2 linked regions of the Cricetulus griseus genome follow. The protein of the gene in region 2 interacts with the protein of the main gene of each other region in a biochemical or structural test. Links are inferred from orthologs where the notes say so. Each region holds a gene or a part of one and is shown on either strand. Other genes may lie near its edges.

Region 1 (4,466 bases), on a different chromosome or scaffold from region 2:
GCTAACCTAAGCTTCAAGTCAACAAAAATGCATTTTCTGGCTCTTTCATCAAGGCCTCTGAAACATGAGTTTGTGCCTAAGGTCAAGAGTCATGGTAAATACAGACTGTCTTCCAAAGTATAGCTTAGGTTCACTGAGCAAGGCATTTGAACTCCTGCATGGAAAGTATGGCATTTCTAAATGGGTATGAGTTCTTTAACAGAATTCACATATATAGCAAAAGGCACATACTCATATCTGGAGTCCTGTTAATTGAATCACTTTCTTTTCAGAAACTACACAACTTCAAATACAGTACACTGCAAGATGACACTTAGCACTGTAGAATTCAATCCCTGCCCTTAATTGTGTGTTGAACAACAGGACTACAGACAACACTTACGTCAGAGTCTGGGACAGATGGTTCTTGTAAGTCCTTCCACAATCTTCTAGGAATGACCTTTATGGGAATATCATGTGTCACAATTCTACTACTGCTTGATGAGGACAACTGCTAAGAAAAAAAGTTATAATCATTTATGTTGTCAATGCTAAAAGCAAAACGTGAGAGCCAATTCTAAACCTTTCGAATTCCAAAAGGAATGTTCTTTATGTATTCTCTCAAATTCTATTCAACCGAAATTGTTGGTGTGGTGTATCTGTTCTGCTTTGGGTCCTGTGAGTCTCTGAGAAGTGTAGAGAATGAGACAAGAGGGCCTCAGTGGAACAAATGGAGCAACTAGAAAGCAAGTGCACGAAGCTGTACCAGATACTCCGTCAGAGCCTGAAGGAAGCGCATAATGAGGCTAAATGAAGGACAGCTGCCAGAGGGGAGTGAAGGTGATGCTTCAGAGGACATCAAAACTAGAGAGGCAGGCGGCCTCTGAGAAGCTGAAGAAGAGGAGACAGGATTTCAGGCAGAGGGACAGTATCAGTGTTCATAAACCCAGGAGACAGAAAGGGGCAAATCTGATGGGCCAAAGCAACCTAGACACCATTGTGTGTCACACGCTCAGCATGCTGCAGCTTCTGACGAACTAAAAGGATAGACCATGTTTATTTCTCAAAGCATCTCTAAAGCTCAGAAACCAAAGTATTGCCAGGTATAGTGGCACACACAGCACTCAAGAGGCAGAGGCAAGTAGATCTCTGTAAGTCTGAGGCCAGTCTGGTCTACATAGTCAATTCTACGACAATCACAGAGCTACATATTGAGACCCTGTTCCAAAAAACAACAACAAAAAAGAAACCAAAGTATTTTGCTTTCTTACTTAGAAAAATATTGTATGCTTTTCCTTAAGAAACTAGATAAACTTATAATTACATGGAATGCTCTAATTAGCTTTAAGAACACATAAAAAGTTATGAGGTCATGAATTAACTTCTATAGCTAGCTTGAAAACAAAAGCAATACTTACCCACAAGATGTGCAAAGCACATATAAGAAAGGAAAGTTGTAAAGAAAATGGAAGCCCAGTGGGGCAGAGCACTAAAGAAAGGAAAAGTTTTGGAGAGAAACTCCATGTAGATAGTCCAATTGATGTCACCAGTCTGGGGGTTGGGGAAAAAAAAGACACATTCAGAGAACAACTCAGAGGGGAGTAATTTATGATTTGCCTTCAAGATATGTGAAAGGCTATGAACATGTTAGGTCGCCAACATGAAACAACATTCTTAAACATGTTATTTAAGAATATTACAGATGATGAGACAGGAGGGGAAAATTTTAAGATGAAAATGGATAAAAACATCTAGACAAGGTGACAACACCCTGAAAGAGCTTCTAGCTAGCAGTTTGTTTGGAAAAAGAAGTATCCTGTTGAACATTGTGCAATCAAGACTTTGTTTAAAAATGACTAGGATAAGGTACATTTCTCATTGTAAGTCATGAGCCAGATCTTATATTTTATTTTGAGACAGTGTATCTATGTAGTCCTAGAAGTCATAGGCATAGAGATCTTCCTGTCTCTGCTTCCTGAGTGTTGGAATTAAAACATTTGCCACCAAGCTGGACTAGATCTTATATTTCAAATGAAACTAATTCCCTTCCAAGAATACTGTTTGAGAGCTCAGGCTTATAGCTACTTATACTTCCTAGACCTAAATATAAATAAGGCACCTGTAAAAGAAAGTTCAGAAATCCTTTTCCTTCTACTTACCAGTTCTACAGACACAGTAAGACAGGGAAAGTGTTTGTTAGTCAGCTTGATTTTCAAGGCTCTGGCGTTCTGGGCAGTCTTCAAGGCTCTGGATAAGTTTTCTGATGTTAATTCTAAATAAATCGCATTGTTTTCTGCAGAGACACCTTCCATTTGAAACTCACTAAAAATGTTCTCCTGCAGGACAGAGACGGGCATTTAGGGCCTTTCCAGCATTCCTGCAGGAGCCTGGGGCCTCTGGGCGTTCCTGCTCACCTGCTCCAGCTCACACCACATGCTCACCCCACCACTGGCCAGCTTGTCCGAAAGGATGAAGTTCAGCTTCTCCGGGCTGATGCGGAGGGTGCATGTTTTGGCAAGTTTGGCTATCATGTTACTGACTCCTGTAGCGAGGGTTGGTAAAGCAAGCAGTTACTAAGCTGCATATCCGGTATCCTACAGGTCATCTTACAGAGCTTCTAACTCATGAATCACGCTAGTACTACAATGCCGCTGACACCTAGCGAGGCACACAACCCACAGCACCAGTATTCAATAATGAAACAGTCTCAGAGAACGACTGACGATCGAGAACATTCCACATAAACGTGGGGGCATCTGGGTACTGCAGAACAGAACTGCCTGCGAGCAAGGTTAGGCACAGTGCCGGCTGAAGCAAGAGTGAGGGAGGACTGCAAAGGGAAAGGTCCCTTTCCCTTAGGGCCGCCCTCCCAGCCTACGGCCCCAGCTGTGCCCTCCACCCCTCCTGTCCTCTCACAGGGCTGCGGCCGCACTCTCCGCTCGCTCCCCGCGGCCCTGCCAGCTCACGTGTGAAGTGATTCAGACAAGCCAGGTCCACGATCTTGGCGCGAAACTTCATGGCTGCTTCCTGGCCCGTAGCGGTTTCAGTCGGAGGCGGACAATAGTCCCTCCCAGAGCGTCCCGACGGGGAAACGCGGGCGCGCGCACAGAGGTTCCGCTGAGTCGGTGCAGCAGGAGAGGTCCGCCTACCCAGGCCAAAGGCGGAGAGGGACCTCCATGCGCAGCCTTGGCGACCTGACTCACACCCCGGGTTCAGGGAAACGGCTCCCTTCAAGAAGTCACCTCCTGAAAAACACTTGGATACCTGGCAACGTAGTAGTTTTGAAAATTGTTTTAAAATGAACACACTAATTGGTAGAATACCTGAAGACCACGGATAATTCTGCTTCTTTGTATCAATATAAACTCATTAGAGCCTATAAAATTCTTGTTAGCCCTAGCTAATGAGGGTGCTTAGGCAAGAGGATCTCAGGTTGGAAACATGCCTGGGCATCTTACTGACATATGTCAACAAATATATTTTATAAAGAAAGAAAATGAAAGAAGGAAAGAAGTGGGAGGGAGGGAAAGGTAAGGAAAAAAGGATTTTTTAAATTCCTAAGAACAGGTGTATATAATGATGATTATATGTTCCTTATTGATAAATCTAAATCATATAAAATTTTTGCTTAGCAAATACATAAGCTATGACTATCTTTTCTTAGAAGAAAATGCCAATCCTATATACCCTTGCAATTAAGCTAAATAGATTTAGCAAACAAAGTCAATGATTTCAAAATTGATAATTAAATATACCAACATTTCCATATTTTCTTTCCAAATGATTTTCTTAAGAGAGTTCCAAAAGCCCTGTGTGCCAGAGCATTTTCTAATGCAATGCCTGCTTGTTATTTTCCATCTAGATAGTAAATGGATTTTTGATTTTATAAAGTTCAAACCTTCAAAAGCTCAGTCCTCCAGTCACACGAGGATCTGCAGAGCAATGTTGGTGCTATGTTTACTTATAGGAAGAAAACATCCCATCTGATCTTGTCTCAGAAAAGGAAATACATTACATATAAAATGTCACTCAGTATATACAGTTGAAGGTCAGGGAAGTGAATCTTTAGAGCTGCTATTTAGGTAAGCACCATTCTTTACTAACGGTTATCCAAAACTGGGATGGTTGTGTCTGTCACATGCCTGATCATCTTCACTAATCTCAGGGGGATAACAGACTCATTTATTTGCAGGCTTGTTAGCAGTTAGTGTTGGAAAAACTGCCCCAGGGGGAAAGAAAGTGACATTGCTCAGCAGTTCTACAGCAAATTTGGACGTCAGTATTTGTCTTATTGTTTACACAAGAAAACTGTGAGGTGGAAACTCATACTGGCATGAGCGAATGTCTGTTTGGGAAGCGTCCTCATCGAAGGACTGTGTTTCTGCTTCAGAAGTTGTTCAAGGGACTCCTCATCTTTTGAATGTCAAATAAGAACACTTCAGTAAAGCCCATGGGTTTTAAAGTTTTTGTTAGTGCAGTACACTAGA
Region 2 (4,521 bases):
TCGGACAGTGTTTCCAAAATTACACTCACAACTTTTGCCCCTTCCAACTGAAATAGAATTTTCCTTCACTGAATATTTTTATTTAAATGGACTTTAAAGAAAATAAAATAAAAGAAGGGGGGAGAAGGACTAGTTGTGTTATGGCAAATGCCTTTGCTGGAAAGTGGGGTGGGGGTGTTGAGAGAGGGTTTCTTTGTGGACTGAGTTCTGTAAACCAGGCTGACCTTGAACTCAGAGATCTACCTGCCTCTACCTCCCACGTGCTGGGATTAAAGACGTGCACCTGGCTTTTAACAATTTTTTTGTTTTGAGACAAGATTTCTCTGTGTAACCGCCTTGGCTGCCCTAGAACACGCTCTGAAGACTGGGCTGGCCTCAAGTTTACAGAGATAAGTCTATCTGCCTCCCGAGGGCCAGGATTAAAGGTGTGCACCACTGCTGGGCAATGACGCATGCCTGTTTAATCCTAGCACTTGGAAGGCAGAGACAAGTGGATCTGAGTTCCAGGCCAGCCTAATCTATATAGCAAGCTCCAGGCCAGCGAGAGTTACAGTGAGACCATGTCTCAAAAAACAAACAAAAACTTAAGTTGGAAAGAGAATCCATTTTAAGCAAAAATAACTGCATGTGTCAGGCAGTGGTCTACAGGCCAATCTGGTCTACAAAGCCAGTTCCAAGACAGCCAGGAGTACACACAGAGAAATCCTGTGTGTGTGTGTGGGGGGGGGGAACCTGCATATATCAGTCATATTTTAATGTGTTAAATATAATAAAAAGGATTTTCTAATACATAATTTACTAGCATCATCTTGCTTGCCCAATGATAGTGTTTCCACACAAGAAAATCCTATCAGGCAGCCGGTGGTAGTGTACGCCTTTAATACCAACACTTGGGAGGCAGAGGCAGGCAGATTTCTGTGCATTCAAGGCCAGCCTGGTCTACAAAGTGAGTTCCAAGTCAGCCAGGACTGTTATAAAGAGAAACCCTGTCTTGAAAAAAAAAGAAAGGAAGGAAGGAAGGAAGGAAGGAAGGAAGGAAGGAAGGCAGGCAGGCAGGCAGGCAGGCAGGCAGGCAGGCAGGCAGGCAGGCAGGCAGGCAGGCAGGCAGGCAAGCAAGCAAGCAAGCGAGCTGGGCAGTGGTGGCGCATGCCTTTAATCCCAGCACTTGGGAGGCAGAGGCAGGTGGATCTCTGTGAGTTCGAGACAAGCCTGGTCTACAAGAGCTAGTTCCAGGACAGCCTCCAAAGCCACAGAGAAACCCTGCCTCAAAAAACAAAAACCAAAGAAAGAAGAAAGAAAACCCTATCCTAGGAGTTCTAATTGTTCCCAATCTTACTCCATGGTATCTTCTCTGAAGCCTATGTGACACTTATACTCCCCTTCCTGAGTCCCAACACCTCAGTAGGAACAGCATCAAAATCTACCTGTACAGTATGGGAGCCTAATTAAAAGTCCCACCTCCCTCTTTCGATCAGCCGTGTGTTCTTCCTGCCATCCTTCCTCTCTTCTTCCTGTCTGTATTATTGTGGTTCCCCTATGAATACAAGCAGCCAAGTCCAGCCTTAGGGCTGAGGATTATAGCTCACAGGTACAGCAGCTTTGCCTAGCAAGGCTGAAGTCCCCGGCTGAATCCCCAGCACCAGAAATCAAATAAAAAGCCCAGCTTCGAATCCAGCCACCACCCATGAAACCACTTGATGTGTCCTGTGCATAACAACAGGGACTGACCTAGGGCCTCACATATGCTAGCGCCAGCAAGCGCTCTACACTGAGCCACATCTTCAGCTCTGTGAAACACAATTAAGGCACTTACTCTGTGGTATGAGTTGTGAAAGAATCATTTCTGCCTTGCAAAACTGGCCAACACCAGGTGGAAAGCACACATCACCAGATGGTGTGCCAGTGTTGCCCACCCAGTGCTCTGGTTCATGTCTCACTGCTTTGCTAGAATGAGTACAAGACAGCACCCATCCTGTCACAGAGGATACACTGTTCTGTCTTGATGCCATCTCAGTCCCGCCTCCACAGGATGTCCCAGATAGCAAACCCTTACATGAAATGGCTGCATGGAGGATAAAACGCCTCCCTCAGCCAGAAATATCAGAAAGCACAGTGTCTCGGGAGGCTGCAGAGATGGCTCAGAGGTTAACTGGCTGTTCTTCCAGAGGACCGGGGTTCAATTCCCAGCACCCACATGGCAGCTCATACCTGTAACTCCAGTCCCGGGGCTTCTGACACCCTCACACAGACATACATGCAGGCAAAACACCAATGACCATAAAATTATTTTTTTAAAAAAATATCCTGGACCAAAAAAAAAATAAAATAAAAAAATAAAAAACAGCACAGAAGAGGAGGAGGAGGAAGAAGGAAGGAGAGGGGGGGAGGAAGGAAGAAAAAGAAAGAAAGAAAGAAAGAAAGAAAGAAAGAAAGAAAGAAAGAAAGAAAGAAAAGGACGCAAGCAGTGTCTCTTGATGTCAGCAGACCTTGGACCCATTTCCTAAGAGGTACAAAACCTCCTCACAAGGGCCCTCGGAGAAACAGGCTCTGCTCTCTCCGGGTGGACTGAGGTTCTGCTTCGGAATCCCCGAACTGCCAGCTAACAAACTCCCCTAGCAATACCCTGTTAGTCGTCTTCCTCTTGCAGTACCCCGCAGACCCGGGCAGGAAACGGACTGAACAAGTCGTTTCTAGTGTTTCTAAAATAAGGCCGTAGTCCTCGCGGGGAAAGGTTATTACCTACTTCCTACCGGTGAAGAGACGGAGGCTCCCAGCAGCGCGAATGGTCAAAGCCGGGGCCGCCTGGTGCTGCTCCCGCGGTAACTCGTCGCTCTCAGCACCGCTTCCGCGAGGCCTCACCCTCCCTCGGCAGCTAGCGGTGGTCCGGCATCCACGGAGTCCTCAGAACCGACTCGAGCGCGTTCTTCTGATGTAGAGCCGAAGTCGTTTCCAGCTTCGCCGCCTTCCAAAGCCCGCGCTCCGGTCACGTGACCCGCCCTCCGCGAACAGCCTCCTGGGAAATATAGTGCAGTCTCTGCCACTTCAGACCGCAGCTTTCATAGTGGACCTTATTTCCGGGGAAAACGGATTAAAACAGAGACTCTGCACTACCCCCTCTCACATTCCAACCCCATGTCACTCACATAGGTCTTCAGAGTCCCAGTTACCGTTACACCTGAAACCGCGGGACTACAAGTCCCACAATGCCACGCGCGAGGGACCACATCCTCTTCCTGTTGCTCAACGCGCTTGCTCTTGCCGACGTGTTCTTCCGGTGGTGGACCGGTGGTTTATCGTGTGCGGGGCAAAATGGTGAGATGGTGGGAGTTGCGGACAGGGCTGTGGGCCAGGACTCCTGGGTATCCGGTCCACACCGCGTTCTTCCGCGGAGTCGTCAGCATTCCGTGTCCCCAGGGTGGGTCGCTGCTGGAGCCCATGTTTAGCTGAGGAACGGGGAAAGCAAGCCCCTTGCCGAGAATTTCTCAGACTGAGGTTTCCATCACAATGGGCTTATGATATTGTTGATCATAAGGCTGAGGGGCGTGGGGTGCACGTTGAATACCTTCGCGCGTTTATTTCTCTTTCCTATGATCAGTTATCGCTATCTGGAAAGTTTCCCTTGCTGAATTCATCCCGCAAGGCCCTTGGATACATGTCATTACCTGGTGAAACACTTGCAACTCTCACAGGCACTTGTCTGTTTTCTGGGCTCTTACAGTCTCTGTACACCTCTTGCCACGTTTCGTGGACCTCTTTTTTATCTGCCACGCCTCCTAGTGACCACCATCTGACGTGCATCTAGTTCTGGGGTGATGTCTATTCTTCTTTGTATTCTTGTTGCCAAACACTGGGCCTGCAATTGGAGGCTCCATAAATGGCAGCAATTGTCTTTGGCTTTTATAGGGGGGAAAGGGGGACATAATTGTTTACTGAATTGAATTCCTGTGTCTCTTAGAACAATGGGTTCAGTTTACTTCTCTGGAGTTGTTATGTTCTGGACTTTAGAGGCATTGGCTGGCAAGTGACAATGGAAGTTAACATTTGTACAGAACTTTGCATTTATAGTCCTTTCACAGGCATTATCTCATAATCTTCTCTACAACCTTAGGAAGGAAACAAATACCTATTGAGCAGTTACTCCATGGCAGGCAGTCAACTAGATGTGTCAACATTTATCATCTTTCTCCAATCCTGCATCAGACCTGTGAAACCAATACTTGTTATAACTACGTAACTCAAACTCCAGTGATTCAGTAAAGCCAGAATTATCACAGTTGTCTTCTGCCAGGAGATCCCTGTGGTTCCCTCCTAAGAATGCTCTTGAATTAGAACTTGAGGTCTTCGTATTAGTCTAGGCTTCAGCTTCCTGCACAAATTAGTGGTTTAGAGTCTGGACACAGGTCCAAAAGCAATGGAAATTGTGGACAAGCTTTTTCTTTGTTTTTTCTCCAGACAGATCCATGATTGTCTTAGTGATCACTGGCTAGAAAATCCTAGGAGCCATTTATCTCTATCCCTTCC

The links.
Region 1: the proteins of Fen1 (region 2) and Hus1 form a complex in vitro, tested with the Homo sapiens proteins (2 studies listed by BioGRID). The link is inferred for Cricetulus griseus from reciprocal best matches to the Homo sapiens genes FEN1 and HUS1.

Annotation. Positions count from the first base shown.
Region 1 is NW_023276807.1:96,060,738-96,065,203, reverse strand, and holds the start of Hus1 (checkpoint protein HUS1), read right to left. Parts: upstream 3,077-4,466; 5' UTR 2,998-3,076; coding exon 2,946-2,997; exon of another isoform or gene 2,896-2,945; intron 2,522-2,895; coding exon 2,394-2,521; intron 2,316-2,393; coding exon 2,139-2,315; intron 494-2,138; coding exon 383-493; intron 1-382. UniProt on the Homo sapiens protein: Component of the 9-1-1 cell-cycle checkpoint response complex that plays a major role in DNA repair. The 9-1-1 complex is recruited to DNA lesion upon damage by the RAD17-replication factor C (RFC) clamp loader complex.
Region 2 is NC_048596.1:50,247,792-50,252,312, reverse strand, and holds the start of Fen1 (flap endonuclease 1), read right to left. Parts: upstream 3,058-4,521; 5' UTR 2,751-3,057; exon of another isoform or gene 2,740-2,750; intron 1-2,739. Other genes in the region: transmembrane protein 258, read left to right, coding at 3,310-3,312. UniProt on the Homo sapiens protein: Structure-specific nuclease with 5'-flap endonuclease and 5'-3' exonuclease activities involved in DNA replication and repair.